3 linked regions of the Astyanax mexicanus genome follow. The protein of the gene in region 3 purifies or fractionates together with the protein of the main gene of each other region. This does not show direct contact. Links are inferred from orthologs where the notes say so. Each region holds a gene or a part of one and is shown on either strand. Other genes may lie near its edges.

Region 1 (6,950 bases), on a different chromosome or scaffold from region 3:
TCATTAAAATGTATCACCATTAAAATGTGATAACACTGACAAACACTGAAACATTTTTTAGAAGAACAGATATATCTTGTGCATTTTACACTGATGTAATGGGATCTCTTCAAAGATGGCAATAAGAGCAGGCATATTTTGGTATATTGAAACATTGTAAAGGCATGGTTTTAGATTTGTAATTCTATTTCTAATTCTAATTTTCTTTTCCTAAAATAGGAGGACTCAACACTGAAGGCAGCAGAAGATATACTGAAACAGTGGAGAATCAAACAGTGAGTGCTGGCCACTTTTGAAGACATTAGATGATTATTTAAAGCCGTCCAATATGAGCTTCACACAGCAGACCTCAATAGTTGGACAATATAATTAGCCAAGGACGCCTGGTTCAGTATAGTTCTATAGAAAAGTGTTTATTTAGAAAATGTTATATTTTAATATTTGACAAAATTGTTTAATAAAAGCTGGATTTTAGTATTTTTTTATTCATCTTGTTTGAATGAATACAAACTTAAATAGAACCCGTAACAGAAATTTGGGAAGTGAAACTTTTGAATCATCTGAGGTAGAAATACGTATCATAATGATTCATGTGATTTGCTATATTTCAAAATGTTTGTAAAAAAAAAGTTATGCTGAACAGAATGTAGTCAGCAGTATTTGCTGAGATGCAGCTTATCTAAAACTGTTCTAGTGAGTAAGTGAATCATGCATTCATACAGGGAGGAGTTAATTTTACATGTGGTGATTTTACATGTTTGGCCAACAGAGGGAGCTAGTTGCTTCCATCAAAAAGAAACATTACAGTTAATTAACATTTTAATAGAGTTGTATTGTGTACTAAACAACAACACAGTCTTATGTACATTTGTCAGTTTTGATCAAGGTATCTTTTGTTTTGTTTTTCACAAAAATATATGTTTTTGCTTAATTCTCAGGATTTGGTTGTAGTCAGCTGTTTAATATTAGTTAAACTACCTCAGCTCACAGCAGCCCATCCAGCAACTTTCCACACTAAACAACAGTAGTCTGATTGCTTATGCTGTATGCATTGGGTTGTATTCATTAAAACTACTTCAGGTTGACTGTAGTGTTGCACAAGTGTGAATGAAAAATGCACTCCTTTAGAGAAATCAACTTCTTATTGCTCATACAGATTATTTGTGAGTCTATACAATAGACACACTGTTTTTATTGATTATGATGTACAAATAGATGTCTGTTTGTCTGTTGAGTTTACTTTCCATCCTGTTTGTTTTAATGCCATTTTGGTGTGTGCAAGTTGTACTGGAATTAGGTGGATCAGTGTAAAATAAAACATGTTTTGAAGTTGAATTTGTGTCTTCTCATTATATGTAGAATTCTATATTGAGTTTGAACAAAGTGCATTAATGTGGGATATCTCAAGTCTAACCTGAACTTGTGGAATTTAAAAACAAGCAGAATTTGTGGAATTTTACATAATTTCAGAAATGTAGTATTTTTAAATGAAGTTTAAATAAACATTCATATTTATCCAGATGACCCTACATTAGCTGACTGTTTGCAGCAGCTGTGATTGTCTGGGCAGTGTTAGGGGAGCTGAAAAAGAGCATTGTGATTGGCTCAGTTTATCAATATTCAATGTCCTATTACATCCTTCTTCTGGAGTAGGAGAGGAGGAGTAACAATAGTTTCTGAACGAAAGGAACTGCCTTCCTCAAATGCAATCAGCACATTAGTACTGCACATATTATCTATGCTAATGTTCACTGCAAAACCAGTATAGTTCCACACTTCAGAAATTAAAACCCAAAAGCAAAAACAAAGGACGTGAAATTGATTTATCTTAAACTAACCTACCCATTAATATATTTCTGGATTAGCTAGAAAACACCTATAATGACATACAGAATAAACAGTGAATACTGCCATGATGTTGCATCATCTTATGCTGCTTCAGATTCTTAAACTCCTTAAGTGGTTTCATTTGTTATTGGTCAATAGTGAACTAATCTATTTCTATGTTTGCTTACATATTGATGCACAATTCAAGTCATTAAGATCCTGTGCTTTAAAAGTGTGTATTATGTGCTAATAAAACATGTCGGCTAACTGTAATTATCTGTGTTGAGGTTTAATCTTAACATGTTTCCATATGAGATAATAATTTAGCACAAATCTAAAAATATGCTTTGGACACATTTTAAGAACCATTAAAATCTGAGTTTCAAAAATTAGAAAAACATTGTTTCTTGTGTGTGTAAATACACAAGAAACAATGGTATATAGTAAATTAATGTAAAATCCACTTTTTCTTGTTGTTTGTGAAATATAATAGGTCTCTCTGAGTTGTATATGCAGGCTGCATATGAACTGTTCTTTAACCTCCATTTTTGCAGTAGCTAAGAAAAGAAAATACTCAGAAAAATTGTTGTTTAAGAAAAGCATCTGTTTCCACATCAACTTGTGAAATAGTATTCATAGCCTCACCAGCTAGTTCGCGTTTAAATTGTAGGTTTAAATTGGCTCTCCGGTGGATTCCTCGTTTTACAGAGACCTTAAATAAACACTAGGGAAGCACGGTTTGACAAGGTAGCACAACTCGACAGAACACAGGTCAAATCACCCGATTTTATGATATAGAGCAGACTCTATGGGGCTTCAACGTGGTGAAATTGCCTAAGCACCGAATCACCAAGTCTGAGGTAAGAGTTTACTAGTGTTGGTTTAGCTGAAAGAAATGTCACCAATGCCGCGGGGGGCTCTGAGAGTCTGACATTAAGGAAAGTGTAAGGGTTAACTCTACCTAGCACTCATTTTGTCCTTCGAGTTTTAGAGCTCTAAAATTGACTGTTGGGGGAAGGCAGGAAGAGTTCTCTGCTGCAGTGCTGTTAGCCCATCAAAGGCTATATGTTTGCATGTATGAATATTCATGGACAAGAGTTGTGAGGACAGCTAAAAGAATCATCAGTCTCTCTCCCCTCCATCACCGACATCTACACTGCGCTGCATCCGCAAAGCCACCAGCATTGTGGACGATCCACCCATCCCTCACACGGACTCTTTGCTCTGATGTCGTCTGGCAGAAGATACATGAGCATCCAAGCCTCCACTACCAGACTCTGCAACAGCTTTATCCACCAGGCAGTCAGACTCCTCAACTCACAGAGATCACAGAGATCAACCTCCTCCCCACACACCCAACACATTCACACAGAACTGATCTGACACCCCCCTCCCCCCACACCACTGCTTTTCACATACACATAAAGATTGTACTGAACCGACCCATCATTCTACACAAACACACACACACACACTCTATGTTGTCTATTGTATTGTTGTTTGATCTTGCACCATTGTCCCGGAGGAACGTAATTTCATAACAAAAGCCTCTTAACTTAACTTGAAGAGCAGAAATCATGTCCTTCTTTAGAGACCACTAATACTTTTTTTTTTTTTTTACAAAAAAAGGGCTCACATGGCATTCATTCATACTAGAGACCACAACTAGACAGTTTTAAATTGTCCATGGTTTGGGACAAGGCTTATGAATCAGAGTCTCTTAACATGACTTGAAGAGCAGAAATCCTGTCCTTCTTCAGAGACCACTAATCCAGTGAAATAAAGCAGGGTTATACAGAAACACTGAAGCACTTCAGCATTCATTCATACTCGACATTTGAATGAAAAACGATGGAATAAGACCTGGAATTAGAAAAGTTTTTGGACGCAGCCATAGTTTTTGGCACACGCTTATGACTCAGAGTCGACTCCGAGTCGAATCTTGAATCGAGCAGTCTTGAATCCCGTGGCTGCAGTGCGCCCCCTACAGTCTGAGTAGTTCACTGTGGGCGGAGCTCTGTACTCAGACCGGCTCCGCTGTAGCTCGGCAGTAGTTGGGTAGTTCAGTAGTATCGCTGCTGCTTTCCGCTGTGATCGTGTCCGTCCCTCCGCCGCGCAGATCCGCACCGCCGCTGCCCAGCCCCGCCGCCTCGGCTCGGTCGGGCTAACGTGGGGAAGATGGCGACTGACAAGCCCAAGCATGAAGGCAGGGTGAAAATCGGTCATTACATTCTCGGAGACACGCTGGGAGTGGGAACATTCGGGAAAGTTAAAGGTAAATCTTGTGTATTTTTAGCTGAAATCCGCGTCCGGAGGATGATGATTATCACTCAGTGAGTGAGTGAGTGAGTGGGGGCTTCAGGTAGCTAAGGAAACTAACCCACCCGTTAGCCGCGTTAGTTAACCGCTAGCATAGCAACACTAGCTAAGCTAGGCTAGCTAACGTTAACTGACGTTTGCAGCTTTTCAGAAGCGAATTAAGTCTCCCTGGCCGTCAACACTACGCGCATTAAGTAGTTTGAAGCGAGGTTTAGCGCTGTTTATATGCTGTATGTTGATTATTCTGCTGTTTCGGGTCCGTACGCTGGTTGTTTATATTAGCTAACGATAACTAGCTGGCTAGCTGGCACTAGCTTTATCTGTTAGCGAGCCCGCTGGTTTTAACGGGAGCTAGGTTAGCTAGGCTAAGCAGACTTGGTTCCCGGTCAGTTTAACGTTTAGCAGATTAATTTTCTGACCGTATCAAACTAAATTCGAAATTAGAAAATTATACTAAGAAAATATAAATAAAATTCGAAAATTGGGTATAAACCGTAGTCATACATTTTTTTCACTCAGTATAGTAAAGAAGAAATCCAAATGATTAATTCTGTAGTTTCACTTCAGCCTTTGCCTTTCACGAAAAATTAAAAGGTAAGTCTGACCGTTTGAAGCTAAATGCAAAAATGGAAAAGTGGATGTAAAAACTCATTATTTATTTTTTATGTAGTTTATTGTACAAGAAATAAGTTTTCATCCATTTTTCCAAATAATTTCTTTATGTCTGCCCCCCCACAAAATCGAGAGAAGGTTTACCTTTTCATTTTTCTTGCAATTCTGATTGCGAAAGGCTAAAATGAAAAACTAGATAATTAACAGTTTGGAGGAAAACCAATTTTTTCTTCACTCTGTTGAATGAAAAAAAAATGTTTGATTAAGTTTTATACCCAATTCTCTATTGTCAGAAAATTCAACTGCTAAACGTTGCTTTATGATCAGTGTAACTATATTATTGAAATAATTTGAGTCATCTACACTAAGTAGCTTAACTATTGCAACCAGAAGGAAAATTATATCATTAAAAATATAAGGGTGTTAAAAGCCTTATACATTGAGTACATAAGCGTGTCCAGAGGTGTATTTGTACAGCAACTGCAGTGAATGAGTCGGGGTCTTGTTTATTCAACACAGGCTGACATCATTATGTACTTTTTGTTCTCTAAGCATTAATATATATTAGGAATCCCCAAAGGATCACATTTCTAGCATCTTTTCTATCAGCTTTGATATAAGGTGCAACATGCCTTCTACGTGTTCTAACTTTAAAAGAAGTCCTGCTCCTTATTTCAGTGCTAAACAACTTACTAAGTGAAGCATAGGTTCAGGTTTAGATAGTAGGATTTAATATCTGCATGTTAGAATTATGTATTGCATATTGTGAAAATGTTTTTAAGTATTATGATTGAATATTTTTACCTTACTTGTGGTCACTAATTATGATTTTAAATGTTTGTGGTTGAGAGTAATTCATTTAATGAGGGTAGAATGATTTTAGTATTGGAAGTTTGATGGATTTTTTTTTCTGAGGGTCTCTCAATTGCTCTCTTTTGTGTAAACTGTAGTTAGTGATTAAATCCAGGCATCTGAACTCATCCAATCAGTGTGAAATGCAAGGGTGGTGGATTATGCCACACACTCACCATTAAATGACTAGACTTACTGTCTCCAACTTTTAAACTTAGCAGTAATACATGTTTATCTTTTTCTTTTCTCTAAGCGTTGCTCTTGTACCTACTTCAGCCTGTATAAACCACTAGTTTAGTTGCAAGTCTTCTATTGTTCTGTGTATGCGCTGGTGTTGTATGTTTTAATTTGTATCCAAGACTACCTTTTTGTTTATCTGCTGATGACAGCTGCTGCCTAGACTAGGTGCATTAAGTAAGTGCATTAGTAATTATTATTTACTTATTTTAAAAACAAAATAATGGTAAATAATATTAAGTAAGTACTGTGCACCCCTTTCAAATTCATTAAATTTTTCTGTTTTAATTTTTTAAATCCAGAATGTTAATATTAGTATTGAAGACTGTCAAAACTATGAAGAAACATGAATAGAAATATGTACTAAACAAAGAAAGTGTTAAACATTCAATGATATGTTTTAAATATTTCTTCAGAGATGCACCATATTCTTTGATGACAGTTATGCCAACTCTGGGTTTTCTCTCTGTTCACCTCATGAGGTTGAACCTCAATTATTTGTCCAACAGTTTTGAAGAAGTTTTCAGAGGTCCTGAGCACTTACTTGTTGGCTGCTCTTCTTTCACGTCTTTCTGTTCAACTAATTCCAAACCATCTTTGAGTTAAAAATGGGAAATTGTTGAGGCCAAATGCTTTTTCATTTACTGCTTAATTTCATGTGTTCATAACAAAGAAACATTACATGAGATTACGAGTAATGTATGAAGGCTGTAACTTAGCTAGGCTATGGTAATTTACTTTTTCATAAATATAGGAGCTTCTTCATGAAGAATCCTCTACAACTAACGAATTACACAATATTATCACTGTTCTATTGGCAATCTGTTTAATTTTGCAGACAAAGACACTTTTTACCCCTATTGTAGTTATTCTTTAGATTAAATAGTTAATAGAGAATTAAATAGATGTTAAATAACAGAGTTATATGAACCATTAGTTAATGAAAACTCAGAGTTTGTGCTATGTAGGCTTGTGTTTTTAACCCAGATGGTTGCTCACAGCATGCTTTGCTGTTTACAGTTCATGCATGTTTGTCTAAGCCACATTCAAAGCCAGAGAGGATCATTTCAGTGGCCAAAGAGAAGGTTATTTGTTTATAGGTT
Region 2 (7,352 bases), on a different chromosome or scaffold from region 3:
CTATGAGTGCCGTTATCAGCCGGTACTGCACTGTAACCAAAGCTCTCCATGTATTACTCCGCCACATACAGGTAACCTAGCAACGATGCAGCGCTTACAAGCCAAACAGCGCAGCTACAAGCAGAGCAGCAATGGAACTATTTTAACTCGTGTAGTGTTTATAAACAAGCAGATCATATTTTCTCTTCCCCTTTAACTGAAAATCTTTTAATAAACAGCGATAATGGAACTGTAGTATAATTGCAATAATACACTCGAGGTTCGTGCTATAACGTGTAATATTGGCACTGCTGTTCTGACCTACGGCACTTGGCCTGTGGCCAATATTACACAATATAGTACTCCCTCTCCTGTACTATTGTTTAAATATAGCAGGTCAATATTTACCAGCATTTTGCAGCCCTAATATCAGCCCTGATATGTATCTTGTATCATAATCAATCTTGTTGTTGGTTTCATACAAAATATACAGTACCTATTCTGAGGATATCATGGATGTTCTAGCATTTCTCAGCACATTTGGAAAAATATACGTTGGGGTGTCATTAACAGAGCTTTCCACTGATAAATATCAGTTTTGATGGTTTTTATGTGCATTTCTTTGTGTATATATAATATTTCTGCCATGACGCAGAGGAAACATGTTGCAATTGGTGTCCATAGCTGACTGTATGTTACAGATGCTGCAGACAGAGTTTAGGCTGGAAAACACTGGAGTACTCCTTTAAAATGAGTGATTATGTAACAAGCATGTGCCTTCAGAGCATGTAATGGAATGGATGTGTTTCCTCCATATAGATAGAGCTCATTGCTACTTCTGTGCTGAGTATAAAAAGCAAAATACAAGACAAATAAATACAACAGGTTACAAGTGCTGTATGGACTGATGTATTGTTCATTTCATAATCCTGTGTCATTCTTGTACACACACACACATAGACACACACAGAGACACATCTCAAATAACAGCGTCATGCTGATACACCCTCGTTTTTTTGTTACTACAGACCAAAAATATTTAAAATAAAAATTATGCTTGAAAAATATGTTTTTATGTCAGAATATAAAACAAAAACCTACAAAAATGCTCGAATTGAACATCGTTTATTCGCTATTTCTTAAAAAAAGAAGAACACAGCAAAAATGCATGAGCGCCCATGCCCATGCACGCGCGCGCGCACGCACGCTCGATGCAACAGTCCTCCATCCTATATAGAAATATGAAGAAGACTGGGGGGTTGGGGGGTTTGGGAGGGAGGGTGATGTGTGGAGGGTGGAGGGGGGCTCCTAAATCATATGCATTATGTGCGCGCGGGGCTGCCCTACTTCCGCGAGCGAGCGAGCGAGCGAGCGCGCGCGCGCGCGCGCACAAACGCACACGCGCGCTCCCACACGCGAACGCACACCGTGCAAAATGTGCGTGAGGAGTGGGAGTGACCGCGAGCGTGCACGAGCGCAGCCACCACTATCAGTCAGTGTGTTAGTTACAGATCGTGACTCGTGACTCTCTGCCTGCTTTAAAAACAAACGTAACAAACACAAACAAAGAACAAAAAAATGGATTCTTAATATGAATTGTCTTTTGATCGACAGTGCATCGAATATTTATTTGGTCAAAAATGGCAAAAAAAAAAAACACAATCGTGACATGATCAAATCGGGAATATAAATATTAAATATAAAATAAATAAGTCATGTTGTGCTCTGTTTGTGTGTTAATGATGACAAAAAATGTAAAAGTTTTTTTCTTTTTTTAATTGTAGTTTTGTAACTGCACATTTATGCTATTTATTTTGTGCAAAAATGAATCAAAACCTGTAAAAAAAAACATGTTCAGTATTTGATATTTGATAAACTAGTCAATTTCAGCCATGTTTTATTTTGTTTTAAAGCATCACTATTTTTTGCATATTAATAAAAAACAAAAAAGAAATTGAAGAGTAATGGTAAACTTTTGTGATTAAAAGATTTTTGGCCACAAAAGAAATAAGAAAATAAAAATGTAAAACAACAATAGAAACACAATGACTGTATAAAAGCTGTAAAAGTGAATTTATTAAAAAAAAAGGAAAAAGACATGTACCTGATCAAGTGTCTGTTTTCGTGTCTAATCATGGCTAATAGGTTAATGACATAAAATGACATAAATGATTTCATTTCGTAACATTCCTACAGTAATATGTATTCATTACTGTATAAGTGTGGATCGGTGTGTAAGTGTGTAAGCGTGCACGAGCGAGGAGAAATTTAGGGATCAACAAAGATCAAAAGAGAGAATGAGAGAGAGAGGGACGGAGCAACAGTCCGTTTGGCTAATCGTTTACGCACGAGCCTTGTGCATTTGGTATAATGATTGCAAATTTCTCAAATCACTTAAAAAACATTTAGAAAAAAACAAAGATTCACACAAAATACACAGATAAAAAACCACCACCACACCCCCTATAAGCATCCTTATCATTTACCTTTGTGCATGCCGGTGTAGCGGTCCTTCAGCACGGTGAGCTCGTGGATTTTGCCAAACTGCTCAAACAGGGGCTTGAGGTCCTTCTCCTCGAGGTTGCGCGGGATTTGTCCTATGAAGAGCTTTATGGCGTCCTGGTCTTTCATGGTGCCGCCGTCCGCGTGTATGGACACGGCCTCGGAGCCGCTCATGGGTTTGGCGAACGTGATCTGCGCGTACTGGGGCTGCTGCGCGAGGACGAGCGCTGGCGGCTGGCTCGGTGCTGCCCCCGGTCCGCTGAGGAGCGCGCTGGCGTGGGTAGGCTGGGGCTGGATTTGGGGCTGGTGGTGGTGGTGGGGTGGAGGAGGCTGATGCTGATGGTGGTGGAGGTGGTGGTGCTGAAGCTGCTGATGCTGATGATGCTGAAGCTGCTGCTGATGCTGATGCTGCCTTCTCGCTTCAGTCTGGGTGAATCTGGCCATTCTGAGCGCGAGCGGCGCGGTGAGGAGCAGGCAGGCGGGATGATAATAATAACAACATACACACGCAGGCGCGCGCGCGTGCGCTTACACGCACACACTCATGCACACGCGCACACACACACCCGGGCGGGCACCCTCGCGCGCACGCACACATACACATACACGTATAATACGCAGGCGCAAACGAGCGCGTGCGCGCGCGCAAGGCAAGGGGAAGAAAAGCAAAAAAGAAAGAGCACAGCTGGAATAAAAATAAATAAATAAATAAATACTTAAATAAATAACAGAACGTGGGGGCTCACTTTCTGTTCTAGACACATGTCACGCGCATGGCCCGTACCTGATGGAGGAGAGAGGAGTAGTGTGTGTGTGTGTGTGTGTGTATTGGGTTTGTAGTACATGAGATAAAAGAGATACCAGAAAAAAATAAAGATGCTCAAGTATAGAGCTCTCGCGCCCCCTGCAGGTCAACGCGTGCTCGCGCGCTCACACACACCCCAAAAACCGTAGATTAATGCTAAGTCATATGCTCCAATATAAAAACCACTTTCACTACTTTGCGTTATAATTCATTATACTGGAAATTGTAAAACTTCAGTAAATTAGCAATAAAAAATTACAAATAGGACCACACATCATAATTAAATGAATTTAGTCAAGTTTCTGTGTTTTTCAAACAAAGGTAAATAAATACACTGTGGGATTGTTGTATTTGTTGTGCACTAAATTGTACATAAACATAAACAAATATGTATATAAAAAATAAACAATACGCACAAAACTTTCCTCAGAACTGTTTTTTTAAGAAATGTAGTATTTTTTTGATTGTTAACTATTCTAAGCCTTTTTATGACATATTCTATTTAATGTAAGTACATTCCTTAGAATGCTTTAGTTTCCCAAAAGATACAAATAATGCTCTCATCACAGTAATTAATTAACACAGAGAAACATTAATAAATGTTATGAATAATCTTAAAATGTGTTTCTTTTACTTACATGCACTAAATATTCTGCAATATTATTTGCTGCATTATATTATTTTATGCTATATTATTTTTTTGCCACATTATGATTACACTGTTATACTCTTATACTATATGAATATGATATTACTATACCCTGAAATATCGTGATATTATTTTAGAGCCATATCGCCCACCCCTACTATCTATCTATCTATCTATCTATCTATCTATCTATCTATCTATCTATCTATCTATCTATCTATCTATCTATCTATCTATCTATCTTTTTGTTGTATGGAGTCGGTGTTCCGCACGTGTGACGTTGTTTCACACGAACTGCACAGTAGTGCACATGTTTTGTATGACGTAGTGTGGAGAAACAGCACGACTGGAGCCCAATAGAGTCCGGCTGCAGAGAAAAGTCCGCGGGATTTTAAATCTAAGGGCGATTTTTCTGCGATTCACCCGCTTTTTAAGCAGGCCAGCAGTCTCAGCGCTCAGCATGTCTGTTAACTACGCCGCGGGGTTATCTCCGTATGCGGATAAAGGAATCTGCGGGCTGCCTGAGGTAAATAACGCTAACGGTAGCTAAAGCCGCCGCCGCTGCTGCTGCTGCACTGTTTACTGCTTAGCTAAGCTAACTAGCCTACCTTGGTTAGCTAGTTTAGCTAAGCTTTGTTGTACCGGTGTGTGAAGGTTCTTGTCAGACACTTCGTTGAAAAATGACATTTACTAAATAATTATTATGTTTATTACTGTTTTTTATGTAACGTTACTAGCTACAGTAAAGCTTTGTTTTTAAATGAAGGCTAGCTTAGCCTACATAGCTAACTAGTGACTAACGTTAAATAAAGTCAGGTAGCTTTACCTGAGATAGTTGACGTTAAACTAAGAGCTGCATTCGTTGATGCTAGTAAGCTAAGCTAGGTTAGCTAACAAGTTAGCAAGAAGGTTTAGTAGAAAACACTAACGTTACAGCATGTAAGCTTGGCATAAGCATACCCTGCTTGTTAAGCAGTCTGTATAAAACAAGATAAGTTAATGTATTTTGCATTTAAAGAGCCCATATAACAGAAAACCCGACCATAATAAGAGTCTCTGTTCATTTGCCGGTAACGTTAGTTGCCAAAAGGTAGTTCTAATAAAATATGGCAGCTATACTGAACCCAAAAGAGCCCATGGTGGTGTAGTTGTGTGTCACAGACCCTTTAACATATGTGTATGTAAAATATACTAATTACAGCGCTTTATCCTTTATTTTAAATCATGAAGTTTCTGAGTGACATATGCTAAACATCCTGAGAATTACTTTTTATTATAGAACAGTGTGTGAATGTGTGTTTGTTCACCTCACCTTATTTCCAGAGTGTAGGTGTGCCATGGTGAAGTTATCCTGTGGTCAGGCTGTTCTGCAGTCAGTCGTATTTTCGAATGCTTTTATTTCCAGTTTTACGCTAATGTTTATGTTTGACACTTCCTGCTGTACTTTAGGACATCAATTTTTTTATATATATAAATGTAATAATAAAAACTGTTTTCCCTTTTTTTAATTATCAAATATTAATACAGTAGTAGATGAATACATGCAGAGCTTTGTGCAACAAGTGATATTCCCTGAAGACAAGGTATTTGTTCAGGACCATCCAAACATAGCCAGATATATATCCAGAAAGACAAACATTTCCTTAATGGCATCAGCTTACTTTTACTGTTAAGACAGTCGGACTGTGTTTTGGTCCTTTAGCTAAAATGTAAATTAGTTTGTGGGATTTAAAGCTGAAGAAGTGTTTCAGAAGTGTTCACAGCTGTAAACACTTGGATAAAATAATATCTGTAATATCCAGGTAACGTTAAATATTTAGATTTGGCAATTGTATAAAAAAAAAATCCTGAATAAATAAAACTTAAACAGAGTTGACATTCTGGCTCTTTCTATGAATCCATACTGTGAAGAATAGAAATTGTTTGTATTCCACAAATACAGTTAACATAATTAACTACGCTTTCTTTGTAATTAGATATGCAGTTGGCCAGTGATATTTTTTTTTTACAGTTGAAAACACCATTGAGCAGATTGTTCATTTGCTAATAGAAAAGACCAAATGCAGAAATAAGCAGTACGTCATAGAGCCACAGTATCTCCTGATGATCGGCCACATTTAAATACTTTCTCTCTTTTGCAGGAGTTTGATAGCGCAGAGGATTTGAAAGCTAAAGTGGAGACGTTGGCGCAGCTGATCAGAGATTCTCAGTACATGGTGGTGCACTCCGGAGCAGGAATCAGCACTTCTGCAGGGATTCCTGATTTCAGGTAACAGTCAGATTCACACTCCTTTTCCTCCACATGCAGTTAGATCAGAAGTTAGAAAGTTTCAAAGAACGTAACTTGCTGCTTTGATTTTTTTGTTAGTATGTTATCCTTTGGTAAATAAAGGTTCCCAATATAGGGTCCAGTTTAAATATGTTTTTACAGTACAGGATGTTATTTTTGATATTTTGACATTTAAAAAAAAATACTCAATACACCTCCAGGCAGTAGTGGTTTGCTAAAGTATTCATACCCCTTGAACATTTTTACCTTTTGTCACCTTAAAACCATGAACTATATTATAGTGAGATTTTAAGTGATAGACCTACACAAAGCAGTGAAACGAAAATGATGCATGGTTTTCGAAATTTTAATCAAAAAGAAATTTGACATGGTCTAAATGCAATGTGCTGTGTATTAGGGGTTGGCGATATGGCTCTAAAATAATATCACGATATATCAGGGTATTTTTGCGATAACGATATACTTGGCGATATAGGAAAACATAAATAATTCATTCATTTCAGGAATATAGTATAATAGTATAACAGTATAATCATAATGTGGCAAAATATATAATATAGCATAAAATAATATAATGCAGCAAAAAATATTGCAGAATATTTAGTGCATGCATATAAACTGCAAACTAAAACAATTATACAATAAATACACCTAAAGCTTCACAGTAAATAATAGACTACTTTTAAGACAGAACAGCCCTATTATCATGATATGGATTTTTAATATCATGATATTTCTGTGTCACGATATATTGTATACAATATAATATTGCCCACCCCTACTGTGTATGGAGAAAAAAATAACAGCTTCATTCTGTGGGGATACTTTTCTTCAGCAGTGACAGGGAAGCTGGTCAGAGTTAATGGGAAGATGAATGGAGTTAAGTACAGGGCAATCCGGTGAGAAAACCTGTTGGAGGCTGCAAAAGACTTGAGACCGGGAAGGAGATTCACCTTTAGACAAGACAATGACCCTTAACATACAACCATAGCTACACTGGGATGATTTAAATACAAATATTCATGTGTTAGAATGGCCCCGCCAATGTCCTGCTTTGTGTTGTGGTCCATCTCTTAATGTTTGCGGTTGTAAGGTGGAAAAATGTGAAAATGTTTAAGGGGCATGAA
Region 3 (7,621 bases):
TTTGTCATTCTAATCATGAAATAACATAGGTGAACTTTCACCTGCATTCCATCTGCATCATTCACACATACAGATCATACAGACTCTAGGAGAGTGCAGAGCGTTCCACACATTATTTACTCTTGTGCAATCCACACGTTTTTTTTTTTTTTTTTTTTTTTTTATAAATCAATTCCCCCCAAAAATGCCCAATTGCCTGTTTATTTATACAATAATACTGTAATTTTGTAAGGAACAAAAATGCAATGCCACAAAATGGTTCATACAGAATCCTTCCATACATGGAAACCGTATATCGAACACAGATTAGTCTGAATTCATGCCTTTTATTATTTCATATAAAACGAACCTTCAGTTATAAGGAGAGCTTAAGCTTTTTTTAAGGCAGACACCCAATCAGAAAGACCCCCTAACATTTTATTTTTTTTAACTAAATTTAGCTATTCAATTAACAAGTAATTTATAAGGAAATTTTAAATTGTAATCAAATAATACTAAATTAATTTTAATTTTGCAATTTTTGATAAAATAATTTTAGTTTCTGGATTTTCAGTAGATCCACAATTTTATATTATATGTGGCACAGGTCAAAAGTTACACCTTAAATTCAGTGGTTTTTCATTATTTTAACATTTAAAAAAAAACTATTAAGAAAAACATATGAAACAATTTAGTATACAAAAAAATGTTGAACCAGAACCAGAATATGAACTAACATACATTTTAGATTTTACAGTCGCAAAGACCTGTAAACATCATGATGAAACTGGCTCTCATCAGGACTGCCCTGATGGGTATTTTGATTTGTTACTCCTTATTCATAATCTGGGTGGATTCAAAAACTAAAACACTGAATGCGAAGGTACGTTTAATCCTTTGGCTGGTATCATATTTATATTATTATTTTTTTATTTTGTTTTACTATTATTAAAACTCTTATTAAAGTATCTCTACTTTGGACTCTTTGTTTCAGCAATCTTTATTTATGTATTTGTTTTTTTTTTTTACTCTCTTTATGGCTCTAAGCTTAAAATAAAGTACATGTCCACGAACCTCTGGAAGTTGTAAGATATCGTAGATTGTAAAGAGACGGCTGGTGCGTTGACTCGTAGGTTGACGAGTCTGAGTACCTACATAAAAAAAAAAAATCAATATTTCAGATTTTAATGGTCATTAAAAGTGATGGGTGTTGATTTGATGAAGTTATAATAAACCTGTTGATAATATACTGTATTAAGGTGTGTATAAGAGTGTCTCTCACATTTCCTGAGGCTCGTGGTGATAGGCGTCCTCATAGGCCGGTGGTTTTGAGTTAATTTGGGTCCTGCTGTGTTCATCTCTGGGATACCCAGCGCTCCTCTCCTCCCTGTATCTCTGATCATCTCTCCGGTACTCCCTCTCTCTGCTCCTGTCTCTCCCATCACGACTGGGACGATCCTGGGTCCTGGACTGGTGATGCCGGTCAGGCATTGCTGAATTTACCTGTTATACAGTAAATACAGGAGGTTAAACCTCATTAATTACAGAAATTTGTAGAAATACACTGTATGTTTGCACTATAATGTAAGATATTGGCACTGGTGTATGATTTTTGTATATATACACACACACACACACACACACATATGTATATATATGTATATATATATAATTAAGAGACCACTTAAGTTTCTGAATCAGTTGTTTTAATAAAATGAACATTGTTGTTTTATTCAATAAACTACGGACAAAATTTCTCCCAAATTCCAAATAAAAATATTGTCATTTAGAGCATTTATTTGCAGAAAATGAGAAATGTCTGAAATAACAAAAAAAGATGCAGAGCTTTCAGACCTCAAATAATGCAAAGAAAACAAGTTCATATTCATAAAGTTTTAAGAGTTCAGAAATTAATATTTGGTGGAATAACCCTGGTTGGTTTTTAATCACAGTTTTCATGCATCTTGGCATCATGTTCTCCTCCACCAGTCTTACACACTGCTTTCTCCTGGTGCAAAAATTCAAGGGAGCTATTTAACAAAGGTAACTTACTTTTTTATCATGTTTTACTACACCAAATGTCAATTTTACACCGGAGTTCTCCTTTAAGTGTAATGGAATTATTAGAACTTAAAGAACTCAAAAAGAAAATGTTCAATTTTAGTAATGATACCTTACAAAATTAACTAAGAATAGACTTATTTTAAACCCTACTCATTTTGTTGGGTTAGTTCATAAAGAAAATCCTGTATAGATGGTACGAAATGCAGAAAACTGTGATAAGTTTGTGTGAAGAAATGTACTCTGATTTTTATATTGATGAAAGGTGTTTACAGGGTTTCCTTAACGAAAAATAAAACGACAATTATGGATTATTAGCAAATGACAAACAGAAATTGAAATAGAAACTGCAATTAAACAACTAAAGCTAGAGGAGTATATATAAGCAGCCAATCTAAATAAATTACAGAAGGAACACAGAATAAGCAGGTGTGCCAAGACTTCTGTCCACTGTTTTTTTTCACTGTACTGTGATTTTCTGTGTGAACAGACAGGTAAAAGAAGGCTAACCCTGTGAGCTAAAGCTAACAGTCACATTTTCTAACTCTGTACAGGTGAGCAGGTCTGAATTAAAGATATTAAACCCCACTCTGCCACCAGATACAGCATTTAAACACGACTCAGCGACACCTACCTCAGGATCTGTCTGTAAAACAGGAGATTTATGGTGTTTAAATTAAACAAAACGCTTCCTGGTCACTCTTCAGCTTGTGTTTGTGTCTGTAAGCTCCTCCCCTTCACCTGTGACTCCAGGCCCCGCCCACAACTACGCTCTTTCACACAGGAACAATCAAATCACTGTGGACCCTTCTCTTGTAAAATGCATTCATACATTTCTCTATCAATTAATTTTTTTAAATAAAAAAATACGTTTCGCATTTACCTTTTTTCATATATTAAGAAATACATATTAAAATGGACTAATTAAATAAATATATATAAATACAAAAATATATATCAATAAGATACAAATAAGACAATAATAACTAAAATAAATAAAATTGCAGTTTTTATACCAATGCGCCATCTTACATTTATACTGTGTATTCTCATTTCTCTCCCATTCCCACTAACATAACCATATGGAAAAATTACATGTTAAACTATTATTTTTCCTTAAATTAAAAAAAAATAAAATAAATAAATTCATATGTAAAGAAATACATGTCCATATATTAATTGATTTTCTGTGTGGGATAGCCCCATCCTATATTTAAAAAATATAATAATTAAATAAATAATAAAAGAAATTAAAATATTTCGCATTTACCTATGTATTCTCACATCTTACACATTCTCACTAACACCCCTATATGTTATATATGTTACATGCATTTATAAATACATTTGGAAATGATTAAAAATGCATGAATTAAGATAATAGTAATTGAGATTAATACAATTACAGTTTTTAAACCAACACACCATATAGAAATAAAATAATTATATATTTTAAAGGCATTAATAAATACAACTTGCTGGATGTAAATGAATGAATTAATGATTGAATGAATGAATAATTGAATAATATATTGTCACTGTTTTTATTTAGTTTTATTTTAGTTTTCGTGGATTTCCTTAATTGTTAAATGTTGTGTACCTCCACAATAAAAAAATGAATAAGCAATGTACTGTAGTTTTTTTGTACTGATTAATTTATTAGTATTTTTAATGTTCTATAGTTTTAATGTATTTGCAAAAAAAAAACAAGACAGGGAGTACATATATACAGTACCAGTTAAAAGTTTGTGTGCACACACCTTAAATTCTGTGTTTTTTTTGTCATTTTAGAAATGTTCTGTATTGTAGATTAATACTAAAGTCACCCAAACTATAAAAAAACACATAAAATGATTTAGTAATGAAAGAAGTGTTAAGCAAACCAGAATAAGTTATAATAATATTATATTTTTTAATACTTCAAAGTAGCCCCTCTTGTACAGTTGACAGTTTGCAGAACTTGCCATTTTTTGAGTTGGTATACAGTGAATAGCTCTATTTGACTAATGCTTTAATCCATATTATGGCAATACCTACTAAGTAAACTAAGTAAAGAAAAAAAATACTTTAAGAAATGAAGGTCACTCATGGATCAATTCAAAACTCTGTGATGAAACTGGATCTCATCAGGACCACCCTAGGAAATGAATACCAGGAGTTCCCTCTGTTGCACAAAATAAGTCCAGACTAAGACTCAGATAAGATAAGATAACCAAAATGCTTCACAGTGTGACTTCATGATTCCTTATGTGTTCCTTATATTTTTTATTCACCTGTGGACATGGAAGTGATTGGAACACCTGTATGCAATTATTTAATTTAAATTTAATTGGCTTTGTTTTTCTCTTAATCATTTAAAACACATTAAAAATAGTAGAGTCGCCACTGTTGGTTTAACTCTTGAATTAAAAAATAAAAATATTTTAAAAAGTGCGCGTGCCCTCTTCCTACCCCGGACGTGAACGAGCGAGAGCGCGCGCGTGCGTGTGCATGCGCGTGTGAGCGCGACAGAGCGGAGAGAGCGAGCGCGAGACAAAGATGGCGGCGGCGGCGCGAGCAGCAGCGTGACTCGGTGTAGTGGAGCCACACGTCCCGAAACAACCCGCGGAGAGAGAGCGCGAGCCAGCGAGGAGATGGACGGCACGGCACAGTGAGCGAGCCCGCGAGCGAGCGCCCGTTACCGTCCCGCAGCCGCCAGAACCGAGGGATAACCCGCCCACCCACCTGCCCGCGCGCGCCGAGGAGGAGAGCAGAGTCACCGGGAGCATGGCCTCGCGCAGCAACCAGGTAACAGGGTAACGCCGCTCGCGCTAGCTAGAGCCTGTGTTTGCGCGCGAGCGCCTGCTTAACACGCAGCGCGTGGCGAGGCGAGGCCGGGGACTGAGTTGAATGTTTGAATGCATGTGAATGTGGTGCTTAATGTGGAGCACGTGCGCTCAGAAATGTACGTAGACTGGTAGCTAGTGTTAGATAGCCAGTGTAGCGTTATTAGCTCGCTCGCGCTGCTGCTACTGCTGCTGCTGCTACTATTGGAGAGCTCATTGAAACGCACGCGCACAGCGCAGCACTCCAGCGCGTGGTGCTGCTGCTGCAGGCCCGCAGCTCAGCTCAACACCCAGTGGCGCTGAATCCGGATCCAGGAGGGTGAAATCCAGACCGGGATTTCTCTCAGATTTAGCACCCCCCCCGCAAGCACCCCCCTTCACTTCCCAGCTGCAGCAAATATACAGTATTAAACTGTGCAAAAATAACACTTAAGCATCAGTATTAGGGGTGGGTGATATAGCCCTCAAATCATATATCGATATTTTATATAACGGTATTCTTGGCTATATGACTTTTTTATTATAAGAAACAACTACTGCAACTAAATAAATACTATTTTATAAATTGAACAGTTTCAAACAACCAGTACAAACCATATATAATATGAAACATATATAAACATTAGTCTACTTCGTAAACAGTAACTTATGAAGGCTATTATTGTATATAATAATATTCACTGGGGGATCTGAATTTTATGTTCAGTGTTTTGCCTGACTCTCTGTACTGCACATTTCTAAAAAGCTGCTTTGTGACATCAGTTGTAAAAAGTGCTGCACAAATAAGGTTGATTTGATTTGAAATAACATAAGCTTAACAGAATAGAAAATGTAACAATCAAGTAATGAAACAAGTAAAACCTTCTAAAAAAAAACGAAAACTGTAAACAAATAAAAAGTAAAAACAGTAAGTAGCAAAAACCGTACAGAATAGATGAGACATGAGCTATTTCTTAATTTTTAACAGCAAAACCCTGAAAATGTCAATGATAAATTTGCAGATTCATGTTATTCACATTGAAATCCAAATTGGTCAGTTGAAGATTGTGAAAAGTTGTGAAAAGTGTATATTAAAATGTTTCTAGTGTTTAGTGTTTAAAAATCATATTGCTGTTATTGAGACATTTTCTAACAATATAAACAATATTGATATTGAAGTTTTGACAATTCCCATGTCCATTCTTCTATCCTTTTGTAGCTATATTTGCCTTTTTTTGTAAGTTTTGCACGTTATTATTTGTAGTGTGTACTACTTGAGATTATAATACGTATATATATTTTGATTTTTGATTTAAGTATATAAATAAATGATTTGAATATTTTAAGTAGAAAGTTAAGTTGAAAACCAGGCAGTTGGAGCAAAATCCCGGGGGTGGATTTTCAGTGCCTGGACCTGGATTCGCCTTCTGTAGCAGCTATATATCTCTACCACGAGTTTTTAAGCAGCTTCCTCGCTTTAATACCGTTTTAAAGCAGTGGGGTTTTTATGTTTGGTTAATTTAGTTTAATTTAAAGCTGTTTTAATGTCTGAGTGACAGTTTTCTGAGCTGAACTGGTGGAAGTGTGGAGAGCCCGGCTGAGCTGCAGCAGGCCCGGACGCTAGCCACGGCGGCTAACAGAGCTAACGCTAGATCAGCTAAGCCAATCTAAGCTAAGCTAAGCTAAATGGCTAATGTGACTAGGCAGACAAGAAGGCTCTGAAACAACGTGTTTAGCTTTTATTTAAATGAACAGCGATTAAACACTGAGTAAGTAGACTCTATATATTTAAACACCGCAGTATTGCGCTGTTTTTGGCAGTTTTTTTAGCTGTAAATGGTGTTTTAAAGATATCAGGTGGTGTTAGCTAGGCTAATGACTGACAGTGTGGTGGGCCTGTTGATTGGGGGCGGGCTCACCGTGTGCTGCTTTTAGTTAGCTAGCTAGCGACTTCATTCAAAATGGTTTGTTGGAAAACACGCAGTTAAACGACGTGCAGAAGCCCCGACACGCGCTATGTGTCGACATATCTGCTCCTAATAATGACTGTCGTGTGAAATAACGTGGTTTATTTAGCCCATATGTCTCAGGTGGCCTCGTTCTGTGTGCTAGCGGTTAGTTAGCTAGCGAGGGAACTTCGCTCTGACTGCCGATTCACGCGTGCTTTGACGTTAGCCACTTAGCTAAATACCTACATAGGGCAAGCTGACTGTGGTAATATGTTTCCCGTTAAAATGAGGTAAAAGTAGCTCGATTTCACAGTAAAAACTCAAGTTAAAGATCTCTTTAATGTTAGTATTACTAGTAAAAACCATGGCAAACTACAAGTTAAAACAGTAGCTCACTTTTAACATTAAAACTCGAATTACAGCTCTGTAATGCAGTTTTTGCTTGCTTACCTATGTCAGCTATTAATTTTTTCAAGTAAAATCATAATTACATACCAACAAAGCTTTTAATATCACAACAGAAGCCATAATTAGTTTTTTTTTATTAAGTTTGTACTACTAAGAAGTGTCTTTAATGTTCCTGTAATGTAAACCTTACTTGTAGAAACTATTGCAAGCTGTTTTCCCTTAAAATGAGGTAAAAGTAGCTCAATTTCACAGTAAAAACTCAAGTTAAAGATCTCTTTAATGTTAGTATTACTAGTAAAAACCATGGCAAACTACAAGTAGAAACAGTAGCTCACTTTTAACATTATAAACTCGAATTGCAGCTCTCTGTAATGCAGTTTTGATATCTGACTATGAAATTTTAATATCACAACAAACGTT

The links.
Region 1: the proteins of usp10 (region 3) and prkaa1 purify together in Homo sapiens (affinity purification with western blotting; 3 studies listed by BioGRID). This does not show direct contact. The link is inferred for Astyanax mexicanus from reciprocal best matches to the Homo sapiens genes USP10 and PRKAA1.
Region 2: the proteins of usp10 (region 3) and sirt6 purify together in Homo sapiens (affinity purification with western blotting; 4 studies listed by BioGRID, with this or other methods). This does not show direct contact. The link is inferred for Astyanax mexicanus from reciprocal best matches to the Homo sapiens genes USP10 and SIRT6.

What each region holds. Positions count from the first base shown.
Region 1 is NC_064408.1:16,915,265-16,922,214, forward strand, and holds the start of prkaa1 (5'-AMP-activated protein kinase catalytic subunit alpha-1), read left to right. Parts: upstream 1-3,856; 5' UTR 3,857-4,005; coding exon 4,006-4,102; intron 4,103-6,950. Other genes in the region: kyat1 (kynurenine--oxoglutarate transaminase 1), read left to right, coding at 220-279. UniProt on the Homo sapiens protein: Catalytic subunit of AMP-activated protein kinase (AMPK), an energy sensor protein kinase that plays a key role in regulating cellular energy metabolism.
Region 2 is NC_064411.1:46,344,234-46,351,585, forward strand, and holds the start of sirt6 (NAD-dependent protein deacetylase sirtuin-6), read left to right. Parts: upstream 1-4,264; 5' UTR 4,265-4,395; coding exon 4,396-4,461; intron 4,462-6,076; coding exon 6,077-6,204; intron 6,205-7,352. Other genes in the region: zgc:165603 (CUGBP Elav-like family member 5), read right to left, coding at 2,466-2,925. UniProt on the Homo sapiens protein: NAD-dependent protein deacetylase, deacylase and mono-ADP-ribosyltransferase that plays an essential role in DNA damage repair, telomere maintenance, metabolic homeostasis, inflammation, tumorigenesis and aging.
Region 3 is NC_064423.1:38,366,845-38,374,465, reverse strand, and holds the start of usp10 (ubiquitin carboxyl-terminal hydrolase 10), read left to right. Parts: upstream 1-4,545; 5' UTR 4,546-4,806; coding exon 4,807-4,827; intron 4,828-7,621. Other genes in the region: marveld3 (MARVEL domain-containing protein 3), read right to left, coding at 1,054-1,130, 1,262-1,470. UniProt on the Homo sapiens protein: Hydrolase that can remove conjugated ubiquitin from target proteins such as p53/TP53, RPS2/us5, RPS3/us3, RPS10/eS10, BECN1, SNX3 and CFTR.